3 linked regions of the Diceros bicornis minor genome follow. The protein of the gene in region 1 binds, or shares a complex with, the protein of each later gene. Links are inferred from orthologs where the notes say so. Each region holds a gene or a part of one and is shown in the gene's direction. Other genes may lie near its edges.

Region 1 (8,032 bases):
CTAAATCGTTGTTGGTCTCTGTGTGTATTTTTCTTTTCTTATCCTGAGCTCCCGTTTGAGAACCACTATCCAAGGGGAGATGCTGTCATTGGTTAGCCACCTGCAATGGGAAGGCATATTGCAGGGAAGAAGAGTAGGAGCTAGCTCTGTGTCTTGTGGAGTGTCTCCCTCTATTGACTTGAAAGATGTCAGTTTGCTTTTCTTAAGGGATCCAATACAGAGCCTGGCAATAAAGGAAAAATAGAACATTTTCTCCTTCAACCTAATGCTGATCACAAGAGCTAGAGAAAACACAGAGTTGCTCTTCTGCTTCTGTCACATTGAGACTCAAATCCACAAAGGGTATAATCAACACCTGTTGGAGCGCTGCTCCCTTCCCCTGGAATGACCCCTAAAATGCAGAAGTGGGGCTCCAGTGGTCCTGTTCACGTTGTGATACCCTTACCATCGAGCCATAGGTGACTGAGCTATGGGCAGACCCTGTACCAAGCCAACCCTACCGGCTTCTCTCCCCCAATTTAATGTTTGCAAAGGAAATAAGCAGAGAATCAGGTCAATTGGCTTCATGTCATATTCATGGCAGCATTCTAGAGAGAAAGTCTACCAACTCCAGCAGCAGAAATAACCAAAACTTCTAAACGTGATCATTTGATTCTTCTGTCAAACCTGTGAGACACCTGATGTCCTCCTAATAGTACCTATGTCCCTGTTATCTTTTGGTGAGTTAGGCTGAGATGCTTCTGGGGTTTGCTGAACTAATCCAAAAGAAAAATCAAGATCAAATTTTTAAGACTCAGACTGACTATTTTTTTTAAAGCATAAATTGCACATTAGAAAGAGAAGCTGTATTTTCAAACTGCAATAAATCACAAAAAGTTTTTATACAGTAAGTATATAGCATCAGCAGTAAAACTCTGTAGAAAATGAAAACTTCTATTTTATTTGGAGTATTTTAGTAACATTCATTTAAAAAATCTTTCAGTATTTAATAACTATTTCTTGAATTAAGAATATTTTCTGTAAAATGTGCTCAGGATTAGGTTAATGGCATAACATACATATTTATAATTTTGAGTCTTCTTATCCAAGAAAAAAGTATGCATTTTCATTGATTCAAACCTTTTTTTATGTCCCTTAAGTTTTTTTAACCTAGGTCTTGCATATTTTTCATTTATTGCTGTTTTAAATAAGATATTTTCCCTATTATATTTTTCAACTGCATATATGAAAGCTTGATTTTTGAATATTTTTTTTGTACTCAGATAGCTTAGTGAACCCTTTTATTATTTCCAGTAGTTTTTCTAGTTGATTTCTTGTTTGTTTTTTTTTCAGGCATACCATCATACTGTTTGCAAATAAAGATAGCTTTGCTTCATTATTGCTATTTTATACTGCTTACATCTTCTTTCATCCAACTGCACGACTAGTACTTTCAGGAAAAAATAAGTGTGGACGATAATGATGAATAGCAGGAATTCTAGTTTTGTGGCTGACTAATGAGAATGTTTTTAATGTTAATCTATAAACTTGATGCTGGCTTTTGGTGGTATATTTTTAAAAGAAAGCCTAAAAATGCCTAAATTATAATAGTAAAATATTCAAACCATCAAAATGCCTTAATCTTCTTAATTATTGACGTCAAGAAGTTTTTCTGCCAACTAAACCCATTTTTGCAAATGATATATTTTTACCAATAAATTAGTATCTGATAACTTAATGTCAGAATTAACTTTTATATAAACTAAATAAAATTTGGCACTGACATGCCTAAATACAATGAAAAATATTTCATTTTAATAAAATTTACAATGATCAGAAAGACAGACCATCCTCATACAAGCAATTCACTGCCTTACACACAGATAAGGGTTAAGTTAAATTAATGGTTGTTGAAATAGTAGCATCTTTTCAAGGGTGAGCACATACCATATATATCCAGACACACACAACATCCTTCCTACAGATTTAATACCTGCAACCCCACATCAAAATTAAGGTCTCAACACCTTCCATCCCCATATTTAAGTGTCTAAAACTTAACACCTTACTTATTCAATCATTCAACAAATATTGAAAGCCTACCAGTTGCAAGTCAACTAGATACTGAGTGTGTAATAATGAATATCACACCATACTGACCCCATATGTCTATTGGGGAATACAGATAATTAAACAAATATACTATCAAACATGGTAGCGTATGAACTCAGCCAAGAAAACTGAAAATGTCACACCGCTATTTTTCTCTGTCAGCATAAACACTGACATATTTTTGCAAAATAGAAACACAAAGACAAATTATGAGTCATGATCATGTTCAATTTTGATACTTGTTTTTGTGACATGGATGGGACTTCATAAAGTAGAGGAAGGCAAAATTGTGATAAGCAACATTTCCCTCCTCGCTCTCTCTGTGTCACACACACACACACCTTGCTAAGAAGTTTATAACTCATAGTGCAGCTTAATCATGTCCCGGGCCTTGCCAGGCATTAGCTGGAAGAATAGCTCCCTCACTGTCTCCTGTAGTTCCAGAAGCTTTCTTCTCAACTGTGTTGCGAAAAAGCACTTACCAACACTACCTCGGCATCTGGGTCCATTCTTAGCATTGTAATAAGCAATCAAAGACCAAACTTCTGGAAGAAATGCCCAAGTATTCTTTTTCACAGGTTCTGACCTCAGGAATTCAAAAAGAAATGATAACTTCCACCATTCCTCCCTTTTAAATTAGTGAGGAGTTGCAAATCTGAAATTCATGGGAAAAAGGACTCAGTGAGCCAAACAACTCTAAAGAATATGATATATAGAGTAGTGTCTAAGAAAGATTATATATTTAACCCTCTAAGCTGAGAGAAACAGTAAGAAGAAATAATAATATTCATCATTTTTATCAGCATAAAAATCAGAAAACTATTCCTATAAAAAATCTGATAAAAAGCTGATGAAAATGACTGAAATCTTCACTTATGTGACCTATCACTACTCAAGGGCAAATGATACAAGCATTTGAAAGAGAATAAAGAGATCGCCTGTATTGATGAGTAAAAGAAAGTAGCTTAACCAACGAAAGGAGGACTTCCTTAAAATTTGTACTATTGTTTTCACACAAATAGACTTAATAATATTTACATTAATAAATTAGTCACCATGCCTGCTCTGGGGACAATCCTCCTACTCTTATGAAGAGCAGCAGTGACCCCTACTGCTCAAATAAGGCAGCTCTCGGTGTCTGCCAGGACAGGGATTCTTAACCTGTTTTGGTTCCTGGATCCTTTTATGAATCCAAAGAAACCTACAGATCTCTTCACCAGAAAAAAATTCAGGTTTTTATATATATAAAAAAATTTGCAATATACGTAATTACATGAATTACAATATACGTAATTCATGGATCCCTGACATAACTAGGGTCACTAAGCTCTATCTATCCAAAACATTCAAGTAGATAATATAATTTTGTAGATTCACAAGAGCTTTTTAAAAGGAGCATAATCTAGTGCAATTTACCTCAATTATTACAATTATTTTATGAGTTTGGGCTTATAAATTTTTTTCAGGATTAACTAACAAGTTAATAGGCCCAACTAGATAGTTATTATATTGCCTTAGATATATTAGAATCTTGCTTACATTTCTATAACTTCATTGCTATTTAAAATCATGTTCTTTTGTATAGTTATTACTATCTATAGGTAAGTTACAATATGATTCAGTTTCCCAAGTATATATTTTATAATTATGGCATTTCCTTGCCAAGGCCTATCATCAGAAAATCAGTTACAGAAAATCATTTCTTAAGCCAAACTCACCCTCAAAATCAGAGATGGCTGTATTTTTCAAGTAGAAACATGACCTTAATGTTTTCAATGAATTAAAAAGTATTAAATTTCTAAATAAGATTATCAATTCACAAAGCTATACTTCTGATAAATTTCCCCCCCATAAAGTATATGCAGTATGCTCTGGGGACAAGATGAGTTGAATTGGTTATGGTTAAGGAACAAGCAGATCCAGTGAAATGTTTGTCTATTCAAGTTTGCAAACGTTCAACTCCATCAATTTTTGTTTTTACATAGAAAAATAATCGGACAGGATTGATCACAAACTGCAGAGTTTACCTGGATAGGAAACAAAGCAAAATACCAACACTTGGGCACCAGGATGTGTATGAATAAAAATGGCGGAAGTCTTCAGTTGTATCTTTCTTACACCAGAAAAGCTATACCCTGGCATTGTTGAAGCCACGTTAATCAGCAGACAACTAGGAAATAGCCAAGAGTTATGCAGTTCTGAGAGATTAGGGAAAAGAAATCTATTAGTGGAAAATAAATTTTGGATTTTGTCATATGCTGTTAAAATTCTTTTACAAAATTTCTCAAATTGAAACAACTATTCTGCAACATTCACTCAACAAGTGTTTAGTGGACAGTGTCAGTGGGATTGTTTTTAGGCATTAAGGCTACAAAGGCGTCCAAATGCGTCCAGTCAAGTTTAGCCAAATAGTGAAGTCAGGCGACATAAATAGCGGAGGCAACCCCCAAAGAGGGCAAGACAGTGGAAAAGCCTTACGGCTGATGGAGGTTTGCTCTCTCCAGACCTAGAACTGATTCCTGAGGTTCTATGAAGAAAAAGCATTAATCTCTGGGGAACACAGCACAAACTACACCCCTAAACCGAAACAATTAAGGCTGAGAGTAAGGCAAAAAAACCGTCGTCTCAAAAACTCTTCAAAGAGGAGAGTAAAACCTTCGACCCATACATTCCAGTAGCTTCCGCTTCTCAGTCCCGAAACTCCGCCCTAGAGGCGGCCCGAGAAGAAAGACCCGCCTCTCGCCGCCAGAAGGCCTGTGGGCCAATAGCGCGCGTGCACGGAGTTGCGTCACATCCGGCGCTGGGGCGCCCGATTCCGGAAGGGGCTGTGCAGTTGTGGCGGCGGTTTCTGCGTTGGTTAGTGTTTCTTTTCTGCGGGAGCAGCGAGATACACAGCAGCATCATGGTGGAGGTAAAGTGACGCTTGGGTGGTTAGGAGTAGTTTATTTCTGGACTGGTTTTCTTTGGCGGCGGGCTTTGTGGATCGAGGGTGTTGGGAGTCTGGGGAGAGTAGAGGCTGCGAGGGGAGCCTGTTTGGCCGAGGCCGGGGAGTCTCTTCTTCAGGTGGGAGAGGCTGGATGAGAGCACGAGTTGGAGGTTCCGTCCTGGCGGGAAGCCTGAGATAATTCCTCCCGTCCTCATTTGATCCTTGGGCACTGGACCTGGGCACTGTCCTCGGAGGCAGGACTTCTGTTGATGTTCCACTGCGGGTACTCGCCCCCTGCGGGGTAGTGTCAGTGATTCTGTGTCCCAAGAGACTGGCGGTCGTCTCTGATGTTCACATTGTGTCTTAGTTCAGCCCTTCCCCAGGAAAATCTGCCATTCTTAAACTTTTGCAGTTTTCCTTAGCTTGAACAACCATTCTATTAGCAGGCCTTGTCTTATCTCAGAAATATTTCTTGATTCTTGTCCATACCTGCTGCCGTCACCTTAATTCAGACCAACATCATCTTTCTCCTGGACTGGTGCAGTAGCTCCCAGCTGGTCTCCTTGCTTCCATTTTTGTACTCCCCTCCCCCCATAAATTAATCTGTTTAAAATATACGTTGGTCATGCTTTTCTTGCTTAAAACCTTTTACTGGCCTTATGTTACTAGAGCAAAATTACAGATTGTTGCAATGGTCTAAAAAAGCTTACCTGATCTGGACCTTGTCTACCCTTGTAACCTCATCTTGCATCACAACCCGCCCTCCCAGCGAACATATATAACTGCACAGCTCCCGGCATTTTTTCATTTACTGAATACCTTTGTACATCACCTTTTCTCTCTGCCTGGATTGTTTTCTATTCTGTGCTAAGCTGACTTCCTCTTTCTGCTTAAATATCACCTCAGAGAGATTTTTCATAACTATCCTAAGTTCTTCCTCTGTTCTCTGTCTCAGCCCCTTGCTTGTTTCCTTCATAGCACTTATCAAAATGTGGAGTTATTTTGCTTATTTTTATTTGTCTGTTTCCTCTTGAGCACAGGGACCATGACTGCCTTTTCATCATTCTCTTGGTAGCTTCTAACACAGTACCTGCCAGACACATAGTAGGAGCTCAGTAAATATTTATTGAGTAAATGACTAATCTCAGGCATCACTCAGTTGGTATACCTGGGGCTCTGGCCAAAGAGGAGCTTCCTCCTCTTCCCTGAACTTGACTCTTATAGTTTGCTGCAAATAGCTGTGGTGAGTGGTACGAAGTTTTTTACATATTTTAACATGTAACGTGTATAACTAATTTGACTTTAATTTAGGTTACAATGTATGTAATTTGTAGCTAGATATATAATTACACTGTTTCTTTCTAGGAGGTACAGAAACATTCTGTGCACACACTTGTGTTCAGGTCACTGAAGAGGACCCATGACATGTTTGTAGCTGATAATGGAAAGCCTGTGCCTTTGGATGAAGAGAGGTAGGTGTAGTTCCTTTTCAATTGCTAGAATATTTAAACTTCTAATATTGGGGGAAGAGAGCAGGGAGAGGGGGAACTTTAAAGATTAGTGAGTAATACTAACATAGGATATCTATTCAATAATGAGTGGTGTTTGGGCATAATTTATGCTGATTTAACTTTTTTTGGCCTTATCTTTTACAGTAAAACTCCCATTAATTAATTGCATTTTACAAATACCCAGTAATTAGGAGAGTCCCTTCTAGGTGTTATATTTTATAATCAATCACTTTGTATGTGCTTTCAGCTTCCCGCTGCTCTCAGAGCCTTGCTGAGCTGAAATTGTACCTGGCCAGTACCTCTACTCCCATCTTTTCTCGTTAGTATGGTGAAGATTTTTGAGTGGTGGCACATTTTTGGTTCTACATCTCCAGCTCCAGTCTGGGATTGCATTATGTGCAGTGTTCCTTCTTTGTCCTTTACCTTCTATTAAAATCTGCTTAGTTCCTCAAACAAGCATATATATATAATTTATAAGGTAGACTATTCTTAAAAGTAATATAATAAGTGCATTTCTTTTTAAAATATTGAAGTAAGTACTTTGATTAGTTCTAACTGACTCTTTTAGATACACATCCAGTAAACATTTCTGTGGAAGCTTTTACTATATTTTTATATTTAGACATTTGACGGAAAGTTTATTGACTTTGAGGTTTTTTTAAAGGATATATTAGTTTCTATATATTTTTAAATCAGACCCTTGATAACTCATCATGAAAGATTTTATATTTATTGGTTAACAAACTGAAATATTACTTAGACTTAATGAATGCTAAGTGGTGGATTGTGAACAAAAGTGTGGAAATGCACTTGGAAATTTTGAGCTTTTTAAAATCTCTTTAACTTTAAAATCATAATAGAAACTTTTTCTACATGATTAGGCAAACTTAAACTATTTAAGTACTTGTTTCCTGGCTATCTGTGAGTATATTTACATTGGTGAGTATGTTTAAAGTACTCAAAGATACATTCTTCATGTTTGTAATTTTTAAATAGTCACAAACGAAAAATGGCAATCAAGCTGCGTAATGAGTATGGTCCTGTGTTGCATATGCCTACTTCAAAAGAAAATTTTAAAGAAAAGGGCCCTCAGAATACATCAGATTCGTATGGTCATAAACAGTATCCTGCCAATCAAGGTGAGTATGGTGTTGTCTGAAATGTCAGGACTTACATGTGAATTTTAAAAATAGAAATGTGAAACGTCTTATTAGTGCCCCTCCTGGCAGGATTAATTAAAGCCATATTCTATTTAATAGCTGTACCAGTATTATAATGGAAGTCTAGATTTCCTCATTGAAGTAGTGAGTGAGATTATTGGTTGGTGGACTTTTTCTTATACAACATAAAAAAGTGGTAGTATAATAATAGCAGAACTTCTTAGGATATAGAGAAGCTCACAGTGGAGACTAAAGGAAAAGCTCCTAACCTGTGGGTAGAACATCTATCTATTTTGACTGTAATTCAGAAAGATGATATGAAGTACTGAAATTGTAGTGAATAA
Region 2 (8,166 bases), on another chromosome or scaffold:
TCCTTATCTTTGCATATCCATGACTACTGAGTTCTTGCTTGGCTCACAGTGTATCTAAGACCATAAATTCTCCTTTTGTCTAATCGAGACCAGTGCCTGCTAGGAGAGATAATTATTCTTTAGCATTCAGTAATCACCTGTGCCTGGATCATAAGTGTCAGCATTGTTTGAAACGTTAACGGAGCCCAGATCCCTACTGTGAAATGCATAGTCAGACAGGCTTGGATTGGAGTATTGCCAGTTACTAATTCTAGGACTGTGGGCAAGTAACCAAACTCTCTACATTTCAGTTTTCACAATTATATAAAAATATTAGATTAGAGAGGATCCAAGGACCTGAATTTTGGGAATGAGAGGCAGAGGGAGCAGGGAGGGACTCCTCCTGAACCCCGGGCGCATTCTTCTTCTCAGAAAAACATATCTCTCTTTCCACTGCCCACTCTGTAACTCTTCAGTGCCTAAATGGAGGAGTCAGGAGTTCTTCGGTGCTGTCATATGTTTCTAATCAGCCCACGATTGCAGTGTAGGAGCTCAATATTGGTGATAAATATACTTTATGAGTGTTTTTTTGAGGATATATTCTTAAAGGCTGTTCCAATAAATAATTTACTGGGGCAATGAAAGATGCAGGAAGTGACTCTGATTACATCTTGGAGCACCTAAAGCTTGAAGTTTAAGGAAGCTAGGCAGCCCACAGCTATTTAAAAATTTCCTGGAAGGGATAATTCTTCCACATTACATTCTTTACAAAGGTTACAGCCCAGCAGCTGATCTCTTGGGTGGTGCCCTTCTCCCATCTCCCTTGTGGATGCCACTCTGAAATCATCGTTGTCGCAGGTTTTTGGACTGCTTGGTGCATTGCACAAGCTCTTCTGAGCTTCCATTTCCTCATCTTTAAAATTGGAATAGCATATTGTCAGGATTTGTGGTAGGGCTTTGAAGATATTTGATAGTATTATGGCCAGGAGTGAATGAATCAATCAGTAGATTGATTGGCTCATTTATTAAATCACCAACTATTCGGTTAGTGCCAATTAAGGTCTAGGCACTGTGTTAGGTTCTGAGGTTATTGTGATGAACAATACAGCAATCTCTGGCCTTCTGGAGCTTAGAATACAAAGGGAAAACAGACTCCAAAAGAGTAAAAAGCAAATCAATATAGAAACACAAATCACATGTGTTCTGAAGATAATAGTCAGGAACACTGGTAGAGAATCTTGAGCAGAGGGGAGGGACTGTCTTAGATCTCACAGTCAGGGAAGGCTCCTCTGATGTGGTGACATTAAGCTGAGACCTGAAGGGTGAGTGCTCCAAGACTTCTCTCTAGGGAGGTTCCCAAGGAATTATTAATGGGCCCTCTCAACAAGATAAAGTTGAAATATCTTAATATGATATTCAAGATCCTCTATGATCAGGATTGCCAGATAAAATACAGGATGCCTAGTTAAATTTGAATTTCAGATAAACAACACAAAGTTTTTAATATGTTACTAAATATTGCATGGAGCAGATAGTAAAAAAAATTTGAAGTTTATCTGAAATTCAGATTTAACTGGGTATCTTGTATTTTTATTTGCTAAATCTGGCAACCCTATCCATGATGTTCCCTGGCCCCCCTCTCCTGCCCTACTTCCCACCATTCCCTGCACACACCTTATGCCCTGTCTATAAGAGATAGTCCAACTTCCATGTCTTTGGGCGTGTTGTTCCCTCTGCCTGGGTCACCAGACTCCCACCATGTCTTCTTGGGAAACTCTTCTCATCCCTTAAACCCTAGTCCAAATGGCACCTCCAGCACGTTATCCCCATTCCAGGGTGTCACCAAACCTGGTTCGCATAGGGTTTTGCCTTATGATTCTATGTTTTAAGGTCTGGTCTCTAAAAATACACAGAGAAGATTGAATGCCTTCAATACTCTTGAAAGGAAGGGGTATAAGGAATGACCTTGTCCCTCCTGCCTCCCCCACCCCATCATCCTCACACAACTCCTCATAGTATTAACATCAAATATTGATGGAGCACTTTTCTGTGCTGGGTACCCTGCTAAGGGCTTTGTATACAGCATCTCACGTAAACTTCCCAAAGTCTTATAAGGTAAATTCCATTGAATCTCCACTTTGCAGGCAAGGCAATCAGGCACACAGAGGTGATGTCGCTTGCCTCAGTTTCCACATCTGTAAAATGAGGATCATAACAATGTCTCCCTCATGAGGGTTTCTCTCCAACTAGAGTGTAGGTTCCAAGAGGGCAGGAACTTTCTTTTTAAATAAACCTCTGTATCCTCAGAGCCCAGGGTTGTGTCTGGCATTGAGTAGGCACTCAATAAATACTGTTGAATGCATGAATGAACCACCTTACAGATAAGGAAACTGCAGCTTAGAAAGAGAAAGTAACTTGCTCACAGGTAGATGTGGTGAGACTTTGACTAGAACCAGAATCAATGGTGTACTGGTAAACGTTTACCAACCCCGATTTGTAGCACTTGTTGATTTCCATAATGTAAATACTTCCACCATGGCCAACTTCAAGCAACCAACCTGATGTCAATCTGCTTGCAAATTTCCTGAAAATTTAACCATAGGCACTTGCAAGCTCCAGCATACCCCTTACTAGAACAAAGTTCTAAAGGGTACATGGTTCCAAAGGGTACACTCTCACCATTACTCTGTTCAGCCTCCCTGAACAGGGCACAGTCTACACTCACAGCTAAGTAGGAAGAGAAAAGACACCTGAAAAACTCAGTTCAAAGCAGATTGTGTAGGTGATCCTTAAAAAACATAAATCCAATCACTAAACGCCCCTGCTTAAAACCTTTCAATATCTTCCTGATGCTCCTACCATGAAATTTAGTCTCCTTATCATGACCCACAAGGCCCATTGTGAAACCTCCCCCTGTGCCAGGCACTGTACAAGGCTTTTGTACTGGGATATAATGATGAACGTGACCTCCACAATCCCTCCTCTCATGGAGCCTGCCTGCAGTAAATGAGGCTGTCAATAAACAAGTAATTAACCATTAAGAACAAAATGACAGATGGAGATATATGTGCAGTAAAGGAAGTGCTAGGAAAGAGAATAATGAGAAGGGGCTGCTTACCTGAACTGAGGGATAGTTGAGGAAGGCTACTCTAAGAAAGTGACATTTGAAACCCGAAGGATGAGAAAGAGTTGGATGAGGTGTGGGGCTAGTGGCCAGGCAGAAGAAGAGAGGATTTGGCACTTTGAGGAACAAAAATAATTTCTGTATATTTGGAGACTGTGGAGATGGAGAAGGTGATTATAAATACTGCTATGGTCTGAATGTTTGTGTCCCCCCAAATTCATGTGTTTAAATGAAGTGGAGCTTTTGAGAGATGATTGGGTTATAAGGGCAGAGCCCTTATGAATGGGATTAGTGCCTTTTTTTTTTTTTTTGCTGGGAAAGATTGCCCTGAGCTAACATCTGTTGTCAATCTTTCTCTTTTTTTTTTTTTTCTTTTCTTTCCTCCCCAAGGCCTCAGCACATAGTTGTATATTCTAGTTGTAAGTCCTTCTAGATCTTCCATGTGAGCTGCCACAGCATGGCCACTGACAGACGAGTGGTGAGATTCAGTGCTTGGGAACCGAACCCGGGCCACAGAAGCAGGGCGCAACAACTCTAAATGCTAGGCCATCAGGGCTGGTTGGATTAGCATCTTTTTAAAAGAGGCAGGAGAGCTCCCTCACCCCGGACACCACATGAGGACACAGTGAGAAGGTACCATCTATGAACCACAGACCAGACCCTCACCAGACAACAAATCTGCCAGCGCCTTGATTTTGGACTTCCCAGCTTCCAGAACTGTGAGAAATAAATTTCTGTTGTTTATAAGCCACCCAGTGTATGGTATTTTTGCCATAGGAGCCTGAATGGACTAAGACAAATATTATGAACGTGAAGGGCAGGAGGCTAAAGGCTCAGGCGACTAAGGAAGAGGCTTAACACCCTTTTAAGATGGAGTCTTATTTAAATCCCAGGAGTTCAGATGCACTCTGAATGATTCTCTTCCAGTGATGGGCAACTCTCTCCTACAGAAAACTTTTTTATATCACTTGGGTAGAAACAAGATCATCCAGTTCCCACCCCGCCTTGCATACATGAATAAACAGAAGCCAGAGAGGGAAATGTGATCACCAACAGTTTCTCAGACAGTAACAGTTGCACGGACTTGGACAATACACTTTCTGAGCCAGACCTGTCCAATAGAAATTTAACAGGAGCCGTGAAGACAGCCACATATGTAATTTACATTTTCTACTAACCACATTTAAGAAGTAAAAAGAAACGGGTGAAATTAATTTTATATATTTTTTGACCCAATATATCCAAAATATCATTTCAACATGTAATCATTAGAAGTTTTAGAAACCGGGTGTGTATTTTAGTTACACTTATGGCACGTTTCAAACATGACCTAGCCATCTTTCAGACCCTCAGTAGCCACATGGGTATAGCGGCTATAGTACTGGACAGTGCAGTTCTATGCCTCAGTTTCCTTATCTGTGAAACGAGGATAAAGTTGCCTAGGTCACTGGAAGGACTGTGAGGGCACACGTGAAACACCCAGCACTCCACCCCGCGCTCGCGCCAATAAAGCTTGGGTCCTTTGGGTCTTTTCTTTCACCGCACCGCCCTCCTTCAAGTCTCCGCCCCTTTCCCCGCCCCCTTCAGGCTCAGGGCGGAAGCGGTACTGTCGCAAATGCGGCGCGCTTTACGGTGGCGCTGCCTTTTACCGCAGTGTGGCCGACTCGCGCGTCGCGCGCACTTTTACCTCATTGGCTCTGCGGCTCGGCTCACGGCGCTTTACGGCAGTGTGGCTGGAGCCGCTGGTGAGGGGTCCCCTGTTTGGGCGTGAGTAGAGGGAAGCGGAGTAGCAGGTGTTGGCTAGGCCGGGAACCATGGACGTGGGTGAACTTCTGAGCTACCAGGTATGAGGGACGAGGAGGGCCAGAGGACCGTCCGCTCACCCGGGCATCTCACCTCCTCTCCCCTCCGTCCCGGGCCCTCTCTTTTCTCGTGGCACCGGGGTCCGAGCCTCTCATTTCACTTCCCTCCCTTGAGACTCGCTTGGGTCCTTTCAGTTCGTTCCTTCTCAAGGTGCGAGCCCCTTCTTTTCAGCTGCAGTGTGGGCCCCTTCTCACCCCACCCTGGGGCCTGGTTCCCTTCAGCTTTCTGAAGGCCCCAGACTATCTTCGCAACCATCCCTCTTTAGCCCTCTTACCCCTAGTCGTTGAGTTTGTGGTGGTGGTGGGAGAGCCCTGGACCCCCAGCTTCTCCCCTGACTGGCCATGTGGCTTTGGGACAAGTCATTTCACCCTCTTTGAGCCTGAGTTTCTTTATATATAAAACGGAGGCAGTAATAACTACCTAGTGGAGTTGTTTGAGGACTATATCAACTAATGGATGTGATAGCCGATTTTAAAGTGTAGAAAGCTGTACCCCTGTTAACTGCAGTTGTTGGGAGATGTTTGGAATTCTAACATGGGATAGGTCTCTAGGAATCTTTGTCCCTCTTGCTCAGGATACTTGTAGGGAAACAGTAGCCCACAGGGCAGAAAGGACTTGTCCAAAGTTACTCAACAAGTAAGAGCTGAGATTAGAGCTGAGGTCTCCTGGCTTCCAGCTCAAAGTTCCCCCACTCTTTTGACTTCCTAAGGAGGCTCCTTGTGAGAGGCAGTAGAGCTGTGTTGTCCAATATGGTACCCAGTAGCCATATATGGCTATTCAACACTTGAAATGGGACTAGTCTGAATTGAGAAGTACTCTAAATGTAGAATCACACTGGATTTTGAAGACTCAGTGTGAAAAAAGTAAAACTTTCTTGTTGGTTACATGATCATATTGATCATATCAGGTACCATGATTATTGATCATATTGATTAGATAATCTTAGTATGGGTAATGGGTTAAGTAAAATACATTTAAAATAAATTTTACCTGTTTCTGTGACTTTTTAAGCTAGCCTTTTGCTGTGGCTACTGCTGGCCTTATATTTCTGTTGGACAGCTCTGCAGTAGAGAGTAGGTAATGAAGAGCCATGAGTCTGGAGCCCCATGTTGCTCAGAATCTCTATTTTGCTGCTGACTGGCTTCTGTGACCTTGAACAAAACACTTAACCTCTCTGTGCCTTGGTTTCCTCATCTGTAAATGTGGGCAATGATGGTACCTACCACATAAGTCTGTTGTTAACAGCTGTCGTGAACTGTAAAGTGCTTAGGCCGATGCTTGTCAAAGAGTAAACGTTCAATAAATGTTGCCAGTTATATTCATGCCACTTCCTCAGCCAATATACAAAGAACTGACCTTAGAAACTCTAGACATCATGGGAATGAACTTGTAAGCAATGGGAGATATATAGCCAAGAGATGTCTCTTTTTAAGACAATAATTGAAGGTGAAAGAAGAAAATAGGGGGTTGTTGAATGAGTGGTTGTATACCTGTTTGGGAGTTGTAGAATGACTAGCACGTTGACTCGTAGAATATTAAAGCTAGAAGAGGTTCATTCATTTGCTCAACAAATATTTATTGAACACCTACTGTGCAAGGCACTGTATCTACTGAATATACAACATTGAGCAAAACAGACAGAGTTCTTGCTTTTGTGGAGCTTATAGTCTGGTGGGGAAGTTACAAGATAATAAGTCAGTAAACAAACCAGAAATTCAGATTGTGATAAGCACTTTGAAGGGTATGCAGAATATACTATGCTGTGCTGTTTGGTGTGGTAGCCACTGGGCACAGGTGACTATTGAACACCTGAAATGTGGCTAGTTCAAATTGATATCTGCTGTATGTGCAAAATACCTGCTATATGTGCAAAATACACACTGGATTTCCAAGATTTAGTATGAAAAAAATGAATGTAAAAAATATTAATAATTTTTATATTGATTCCATGCCGAAATGATAATACTAGGATATATTGGCTTAAAGTAAATAGATTATTAAAGTTAATGTCACTTTCTTAAAAACTTTTTTAATGTGGCTACTAGAAAATTTAAAGTTACATATGTGGCTCATTTGTGGCTTTCCATGTATTTTCATTGGACAGCACTGCTAAAGAAAATAACCCCTGGGAATGCGAGGCAGGACCTATTACTTTAACTAGTATGGTCTGGGAAGGACTCTGAGGAATGGACATTAAAGGATTGAAGGTTGAAAGGAGCCAGTCATGTGAAAAGGGCAGAATGATCTGGGCAGACAGAATAGCAAATACATAGGCTGTGAGGTAGAGGCTGGGGCAGCCTGTTAGAGGATCAGAAGGAGGACTGATGTAGCTGGAACATGGTGAGTGGGTGGGGGAGTGGTAGGTGATGAAGTTGGAGATGTAGGCAGATGACAGGCTATGTAGGCCTTCCTGTGGGCCATGATAAGGAGTTTGAATTTTATTTTGAGAGATGTTATAGATAAGCTCGTTTACAGATGAAAAGTGAACTCCATTCTGGGAGAGGGACTTCCCTGAGGTTGTGGGCCAAGGGAGTGGCAGAGTTGAAACCAGAATCCTGATCTTCTTATTTCTGCCCTGTTCATTTCCCACATGCACTGTTCATGCAGTTTCCTTTCTGTAAGATCCATGTCCACTCTTCCTGTTCCTAAAAGATGGTACAGTCTGGAATCTAGTCCATAATCAGTCAACTGCACCCATCCTCCTGTGGAAAGTTATGAGGATCATCTGAGTTAATGGATGCAAAAGCTCTTTGAAAACAGTAACATTTTATAGATGTGAAAGATGCATTACCTACCTGCATCATCTCTCTAAATCCTTATAACAACCCTATGAGGAAAGGTACTGTTTTTAATCTCAATTATAAACATGAGGGAACTGAGGTACGAGAAAGTACCTACCTTATAACTGGAGCTCCTAACCACTGTGCTGTACTGCCTACCTACTCTGTGCCGGATGCTGAGCTAAAGTGCTTTCAGATAAGTTCTTGATTTAATTCTCAACATGCCCTTTGAGGTTGGTAGCATGCCTATTTTGTAGAAACAGAAACTCCAGTTAGAGGTCAATTACCTGCCCAAGGTCAAACAGCCAGTAAGGGGCAGAGCCAGAACTGCAACCAACTGAATACTCAAATCTGGTTTTCCGTTTTGTTCTCAGATTTTTAAAAACTTTTAAAAATTGAAGTGTTGTACACATATAGAAG
Region 3 (7,563 bases), on another chromosome or scaffold:
ATTCCATCTTGTTTCTTACTTGTGGTGTGACTTCAGGGAAATTACGTGACCTCAGGCCTCAGTTTATCCTTTATGAAATAGGGTTAATAATAACTACCTCCTAGAGTTGTTGAGAGGGTTAAGTAATGTTTGTGAAGCACCTAGGAACTATGGCTGGACATCAAGTTACTTAACCTCGCCTGAGGTGAGATTAAACGAGTTATAAGAATGCCTGGGGCCAGCCCGTGGTGTAGCGGTTAAGTGCGTGCGCTCCGCTGCTGGCGGCCCAGTTTCGGATCCCTGGCTTAAACCGATAGACCGCTTGTCAGGCCGTGCTGTGGCAGCGTCCCATATAAAGTGGAGGAAGATAGGCACAGATGTTAGCCCAGGGCCAGTCTTCCGCAGCAAAAAAAGAGGAGGATTGGCATGGATGTTAGCTCAGGGCTAGTCTTCCTCACCAAAAAAAAAAAAAAAAGCCTGGCACAGAATTCGAGCTAAATGAATGATGGCTGCTGTTGCTGGTAGTAACAAGCACTCAAGATGTGGAAGATGTTATAAGATTTCCCATATGCCAACTGGCCTTCAGTGTGAGGAGAGGGTGGGGAAGGTGGGGAGCAGAGGCCTCACTCATTCTCTGTCATTATTGCCTCCTCTCCCACAGATGAGTCCTGCCGGAGGTGACCGTCTTCCAACACAGAGATATACCTCGCTCCTTCCCAGAACTGAAGATCCTGGAGCCCAGAAGATTCAGAGCAGACAGACCCTGAAAATGAGCCTGGCAGGGAAGGGCAACCAACATCTTCCACTTCGCTTTCCTCATCCTGTTTCTGGGGGCAGAGCCAATCGCCCAATTTCCACCCTCACCCCAGGTCCCTGGTGTGAGTGCGTCAGGCGTGTGGGTGTATCCTAGGTGATCCAAGAGTGAGCACCAATTCCCAGGGAGGAGCACAGAGCTCCCTGGGGAATGGAGATGGAGCACCCTCTCCATCTCCATGGGCAGGGTATACTCGCCCTACAACCTTCCTTGTCTCCCCACCACCCCCTGAGGTTCTCAGGATTTCAGCACTCATCTCCCTGAGACGCCTGGCCCCCACTCCATTTCCAGTCACCTCTCATCCTGTTCCTTAGGTCACTGCCCCTTTGTTTACAGCTCTTGCCTCCTCTCTTGACTGCAGCCTGGATTACAAACCCCACCAGCTCCCCGCCCCACCTGCCAAAGTCCCAGGTTTACAAGCCACGCCTACTTGCCGTGTCTATGTGGAATCCTCTCCCCTGTCCCCTGCTGTTGCCTCACTGGGAGTGACCTTGGGGTGTGGCTTCCTCCATTTTTGCTCAGTATTACTGTGCCTCAGATTTCCCCAAGAGGGAAGGCTGGGGATCTTAACTCCATTCTCCCATCTAGTTATTTAATTCTGTTTCTCCTAGTGGTTCTCAATTGAATTGAATTGCAAGGATGTGGGGTGACTAACGAGGCACCTCAACTCTCCTCCCTCATTTCTCCTTCCTTATCAATTGCCTGTGTTTTTTTTTTTTTTTTTAATTGTCCCTAATAAAATGGAGCTCTCTCTGACTTTCCCATTGCTTCTCCTTCTTTAGGAAAAAAAAGTGCATGCGGGGGAAACTCTGTGTTCCTCGTTCCAAGCCTCTCCCATCTTCCTGTTGGCCATGAGAGGGAAGTGGCGATGGGCGGTGGGAGGGGAAAATGATGAGGATGAACCAAGAACTCAGAGCTGACATGTAGAAAGGGCTCTGGGAGAGCCCTGCACTGGTTTCTCGAAGGACTAGCAGGAGAAGGACTGGTTTGAGGAAGGGCAGGTTGTAGCCACCAGACTGGAAGTGCCATGAGGGCAGACCATGTTGGTTGAGTTTACTGCAGCATCACCACGCCTGGCACCTAATAGACACACAAAATTACTTCTAGAATGAATGACTGAACAAATAAATGAAGAAAAGAGCTAAAAAACTGGAAGCAGAGGACACTCTAAATTGAAAGATACCGGGCCAGCCCGGTGGCTTAGCGGTTAAGTGCACGCGCTCCGCTGCTTGCGGCCCGGGTTCGGATCCCGGGCGTGCACCGATGCACTGCTTCTCCGGCCATGCTGAGGCCGCGTCCCACATACAGCAACTAGAAGGATGTGCAGCTATGACATACAACTATCTACTGGGGCTTTGGGGGAAAAAATAAATAAATAAAATCTTTAAAAAAAAAAATAAATTGAAAGATACCAGTATTCAGAAGCCTATAGCAATGCCAGCAGCCAGCTAGTGTGTGATAGTAGCTAATTCAGAGGCATTTACTCCAAGACCCGAGACCATAAATAATTAATCTGAAATTGCTGCAAAATATAGTATGTTTAGAAGTGCAGTTTCCTGAAAAGGGGTCTCTGATAGACAATGAGTTTTATATTCCCAAAGGTTTAAGAACTATCAATAATTCATGCCTTTGTTACCCAAGTATAGTTGATGTTGGGAGATTTTCTCATTTCAAAGAATTTCTATCTTCTACAAATGTAGAAGACCTATGTTTTATTTATCAGGTCATTTTTTTAGTTCTGCAGGCTAGTAAAGGCATGGTTGACTAGTCCTAGTCCTTCTACCACTACAGGATGCTCCTCAGCCTAGTCAGAGGGGACTCCCCTTTACCAAAAACAAAATGTGTTAGACAAATTGATCTTAAATATATGCTGAAGGTCCTTAATTTACTAGCAAGAGAACAAGCAAGCTGTCAAAAGAATGAGCCAGTTCAGGGGCCGGCCTGGTGGCGCAGCGGTTAAGTGCGCGCAGTCTGCTTTGGCGGCCCAGGGTTCACAGGTTCGGATCCCGGGCGCGCACCAACGCACCGCTTGTCAAGCTGTGACGGCTTCCCATATAAAGTAGAGGAAGATGGGCATGGATGTTAGCCCAGGGCCAATCTTCCTCTGCAAAAAAGAGGAGGACTGGTATCAGATGTTAGCTCAGGGCTGATCTTCCTCACCAAAAAAAAAAAAAAAAAAGAATGAACCAGTTCACAGAAGCAGTTCACAGAAGCTGTGGGTGTGGAGGGAAACAATGCTTATATCAGTAGCTAATTAGGTAAAGATCCTAAACAGTTGTGACCCAGGAAAGAGGAGGCAGGGAGCTCTGAGATGCCAGGGGTGCCCACAGTCCATCTGAGAAATAAAACAATGCATCCAAGAAGTCAATGAAGTCAGTGATATGGAGCTACCTGTGGCTGCTCATTGGAATAACAACGATTCATTTCCCAACAGGTGTCTGCTAAGTCCAATTAATCATAAAAAAAAGTATGAAGCAGGGTAAAAAGAAGTCAGATAGTAGAGAGTCAAGTAACAAGTTCTGCTTGTTTTTAAATAAGCAGCCACCAGTGAATTTCTCAAGCTGTTAGCGAAAATGCAGAACATACTACGGGGCCAGGCTGGTGCCACAGTGGTTAAGTTCGTGCGCTCCGCTTGGGTGGCCTGGGGTTCGCTGGTTCGGATCCTGGGCACAGACCCACTCACTGCTCATCAAGCCATGCTGAGGCGGTGTCCCACATAGAGCAACTAGAAGGATGTAAGACCATGACATACAACTATCACTGGGGCTTTGGGGAGAAAAAAGGAAAAAAAGGATGAAGACTGGAAACAGATGTTAGCTCAGGGCCAATCTTCCTCAAAAAAAGAAGCAGAACAGAGATTGCATTTTCCTGAGTCGGAGAGCTTTTAAAATGACTTTCTGACACAGCACCAAGAAAAGTGGGCACCTTTGTTTTTCCCCCAGATCCCAACTTCCTGGCCTGGAGGTCCTCGCTTATGCCTAACCTGTATTCAACCCTGCTGCAGGCACCAGTCCAAAGGTCACTCCTAATCAGCATGGGCTAATCTTTAATAAGCGGGACCTGATCTTCTGATTTGAAATGGAATCCCCCCCAACACACATACATCTTGCCTTATTTTTGGCTCCATAGAACTTACATGTTTTATTTATTATGTATCTTGCCTCCTTCCCACCCCGCGCAATGTAAACTCGGTGAGGGACTTTTGTCTGATTTGTTCTTTGCTATATCCCTAGCGACAAAAATTGCCTAGCACACCTTAGGCTCTCAGCATTAGTTGAATGAATCAGTGAAACACCCCCGAACTGACCATCAGGGGGCGACAGAGATTCGGTAGGGGCGGAGAGGACATTGTTTTCCCCCGAGCTTCAGATAACGATTCTGCGAGGTTTGAACTCGCTCGGCCACCGTAGTGCTCAGGCCGGAAAAGCGCGGCCGCTTCCGGCCTCCGCGGTCCGAGAAGACGGCTTTGAGGTGTCGGAAACCGAATCCCAAGGTCCTAAGGCGGCTCCCTTGAGGAGCTGAGGCTCCAGCCCCGGGCTCCAGGCCTCAGCCCGGCCTGGCCGCCAGGGCGGCTGCTGGAGACACTTCAGAGCAGAGAACAGAGCGTGGGTCGCCATGGCGACGCCGGCGGGGCTGGAGCGCTGGGTGCAGGACGAGCTGCACTCGGTGCTGGGACTGAGCGAGCGGCACGTGGCCCAGTTCCTGATCGGAACCGCGCAGCGCTGCGCCTCGGCCGAGGAGTTCGTGCAGCGCCTGCGGGACACTGATACCCTGGACCTCAGCGGGCCGGCCCGGGACTTCGCCCTCAAACTCTGGAACAAGGTGTCGAGAGGGGTGGGGCGCGGCTGGGGCGGGGCCGGCGTGGGAACCGCGAGAGAGGGGGTGGAGCAGGGACGGGGCCCAGGTTACTTATCCAGGTGAGGCTGGGCTAACTGCATCGGGGAATTAAGCTCAGTTTACAGGCATTCATCCGTTGTCCGTTGTCGTCTAGGTAGTGTGCTGGGTGCTGGACGTCCAGCTTAGGGGAGGAGAACGAGGAGGGCTAAGTGTGCTGGGTTAAGTGCTATAGAGCAGTGTTTCTCGAACTTTAACATGCATAGGATTTCTCCAGGGCCTTTGTTAAAATGCAGATTCCGATTTGGTAGGTCTGGGATGGGATCTTAGTTTCTGCATGTCTAACAAGTTTCCAGGTGATGACGGCCCATGGACCACCTTGGTGAATAGCGAGGCCGTAGAAGGGATGTGTGGGAGGTGCTGTGGGAGGGCAGAAGAGGTGGGGGTAGTGAGCAGGAAAAGCAGGCCCAAAGACTCCCTGGAGCTTGTCAAGTAGAGAAGGAGGAATGAGTAAAAGTATAAAAGGCGAGCTCCTGGAGGACAGGAGTGTGTATTTCTCGTCTTTGTATTCCTGCCACCTAACAGAGTACCTTTCAGAGCAGGTGCTCAGGAAGTATATAGGAAGAGTGGAAGTGTTCAGCATGTTCAGAGAATGGCAAATAGCCTGGATGGGACCTGGTTGTCCCATATGGTGCTTGTCAAGGGAGATTAGGTTAGAATGTAAGTGATATGAGAGTAGGGACTTTATGTTAATTTGTTTACCAGGGTATCCCTGGAGTCTGAGACAGTGCCAGGCCTGTGACAGCCTTCTGCAAAAGTAGCATGTCAGTCCTTGTGTAGGCATGACTTAATCATTGGGAATAGCAGAGGCTGAGCAATTGAGAATTGGGTTTGAGAATGTAAAATCCACAAGGGCAGGGATGCTTGTCTCTTTTGTTTATTCCTGTATCCCTAGTACCTAACAAGTACCTGGTGCATGGGACAGGCTTCAATAAACGTTTGTTAAATGAATGACTGAAAGGACGTTCGGAAACTGAGAGGCTCTGACGAACATGGCGTGAAGCCATGGGGAAGAGAAAGAATGAAGGCTGATTTAAGATCAAGTCAATCCTTACATTAAAAACAGGGTAAAGTAGGTGGTCAGAGATCAGGAGTTGCTCACATCCCTCATCTCCTCCTCTCCTGACAGGTGCCACGGAAGGCAGTCGTAGAAAAGCCAGCTCGGGCAGCAGAGCGAGAGGCCCGAGCCCTGCTGGAGAAGAACCGATCTTATAAGTTGCTGGAAGAGAGTGAGGAGAGCAGTGAGGAGACCATGGGCAGGGCTGGGAGCAGTCCCCAGAAGAAGCGTAAAAAACGGAAACACCTCAGGAAGAAACGTCAGGAGGAAGAGGAAGACGAAGAGGAGGAATTTTCTGAGAAAGGAAAGAGAAAGACAGGGTAAGTCAGAAATAGGATGAGAGATGGGGCAGGTGGATGATGGGATATGCCTTCTGGATGCCCTTATTTAATCCTCTGGGCTGGGCTGCAGGGAGAGTACACAGCAAATGGAGAAGCCAGAGTCGGAGGATGAGTGGGAGCGGACAGAGCGAGAACGCCTTCAGGACTTGGAGGAACGGGATGCCTTCGCGGAGCGGGTTCGGCAGCGGGACAAGGATCGGACTCGTAATGTCCTGGAGCGGTCAGACAAGAAGGTCTGCATGTTCTCTAAATCCCAGGAAAATCTCTGGGTCAAAACTGAGGTTGAGTATGATTGCAGATAGTGATCTCTGGGAACACAAGGGGCTGCCTCTAGTGGTAAGTTCATCTCTATGAGGAGAAGACCCCTCTGGGTCTGCTGGCTAAGGTGAGTCTCTGCTGAACCTGTAGCCATAGAGCTTCCTCGTGGAGAAGGGACATTTCTTTGTGTTAGGGAACATCTGAATGATCCTTGTGATTCTGGAGGGGGAATGGCTGTGGGCCTGGGGGCTTTTGGCGTCACACCCCTCCACTCTTGGTTTCTTCTCCTAGGCTTATGAAGAGGCTCAGAAGCGCCTCAAGATGGCTGAGGAAGACCGGAAAGCCATGGTGAGTCCCAGTACCTAGGAAGCCAAGAGCAGAAGACAAAAGGAAAAACTTTCTGATGGAGAAGTTAGGGGTAGGGACAAAGGATACAGAAGATGCGGTGGAGATGCTGATGGGGTGTCAGGTCTCTGGAGGATGGGGCTTGGTTGACAGAAGCCTGCTGAGGATGGATTTAAGTTGTAGAGAGAAGGAGGTTACCCATAAACCCTCCTTGACTCCATAGGATTAAATCACACTGTATGTTAGTGAGGGAAATGTGAGCTTTCTCTGTTCCTGAGACTTAACAAGATGTAATCAAAAGGCAGCTGGAACGTCAAGGGGTTGGCTGGAGGGCAGGAGCAAGGCAGCTGTTCCACTGCCCAGGGATGTGCTGACCATTCAGCTTGGCACACCATCTCCAAATACCTCCCTACCACCTAATCCCTCCATCCCCTCTGTGGCCTTGTGATCTTCCTCTGGTTTCCTAAGTTGGTCTTCTCCTGGACAGGGTCAGAGCCCTGGTAATTCATGAACTGGACTTGTTATGGTGTGAGTCTTGGTAGGGTAGGCAGTTTTCCAAAGGCCTGGTATTTCCAAGTAAGGTCACACTTAGATTTCCCAAAAGAATTTTGAGATTCTTAGTGTCCTAAGAATGGCCTAGTGGCCCTCAGGTCTCTCCAGACCAATCCATCTCATGTCCCACTCCACAAAATGACTGTGCTCAGAGCCTTCTGAGGCATCTCTCAGGGCTGGTGTCATGTTTTTATTTGCCTGAATTTAATTTTTTTTTTTCAATTATGAAAACTTGCAAACAAATAGGAAAGTTGAAATAATAGTGTAATGAACACTCATACAGACTATTCACATTAAAAAATTGCCAATCCCATGTGCATCGT

What was found. The genes of interacting proteins can lie anywhere in the genome.
Region 2: PLRG1 (region 1) and CTNNBL1 share a complex: the UniProt entries of both Homo sapiens proteins name them as parts of the PRP19-CDC5L splicing complex. The link is inferred for Diceros bicornis minor from reciprocal best matches to the Homo sapiens genes PLRG1 and CTNNBL1.
Region 3: PLRG1 (region 1) and DHX16 share a complex: the UniProt entries of both Homo sapiens proteins name them as parts of the minor spliceosome. The link is inferred for Diceros bicornis minor from reciprocal best matches to the Homo sapiens genes PLRG1 and DHX16.

The regions. Positions count from the first base shown.
Region 1 is NC_080750.1:42,618,047-42,626,078, reverse strand, and holds the start of PLRG1 (pleiotropic regulator 1), read left to right. Parts: upstream 1-4,902; 5' UTR 4,903-4,993; coding exon 4,994-5,002; intron 5,003-6,382; coding exon 6,383-6,489; intron 6,490-6,775; exon of another isoform or gene 6,776-6,847; intron 6,848-7,524; coding exon 7,525-7,667; intron 7,668-8,032. UniProt on the Homo sapiens protein: Involved in pre-mRNA splicing as component of the spliceosome. Component of the PRP19-CDC5L complex that forms an integral part of the spliceosome and is required for activating pre-mRNA splicing.
Region 2 is NC_080758.1:22,436,781-22,444,946, reverse strand, and holds the start of CTNNBL1 (beta-catenin-like protein 1), read left to right. Parts: upstream 1-4,835; 5' UTR 4,836-4,917; coding exon 4,918-4,947; intron 4,948-8,166. UniProt on the Homo sapiens protein: Component of the PRP19-CDC5L complex that forms an integral part of the spliceosome and is required for activating pre-mRNA splicing.
Region 3 is NC_080753.1:34,433,762-34,441,324, forward strand, and holds the start of DHX16 (pre-mRNA-splicing factor ATP-dependent RNA helicase DHX16), read left to right. Parts: upstream 1-4,232; 5' UTR 4,233-4,408; coding exon 4,409-4,615; intron 4,616-5,816; coding exon 5,817-6,064; intron 6,065-6,155; coding exon 6,156-6,318; intron 6,319-6,634; coding exon 6,635-6,691; intron 6,692-7,563. Other genes in the region: PPP1R18 (phostensin), read left to right, coding at 641-660. UniProt on the Homo sapiens protein: Required for pre-mRNA splicing as a component of the spliceosome. Contributes to pre-mRNA splicing after spliceosome formation and prior to the first transesterification reaction.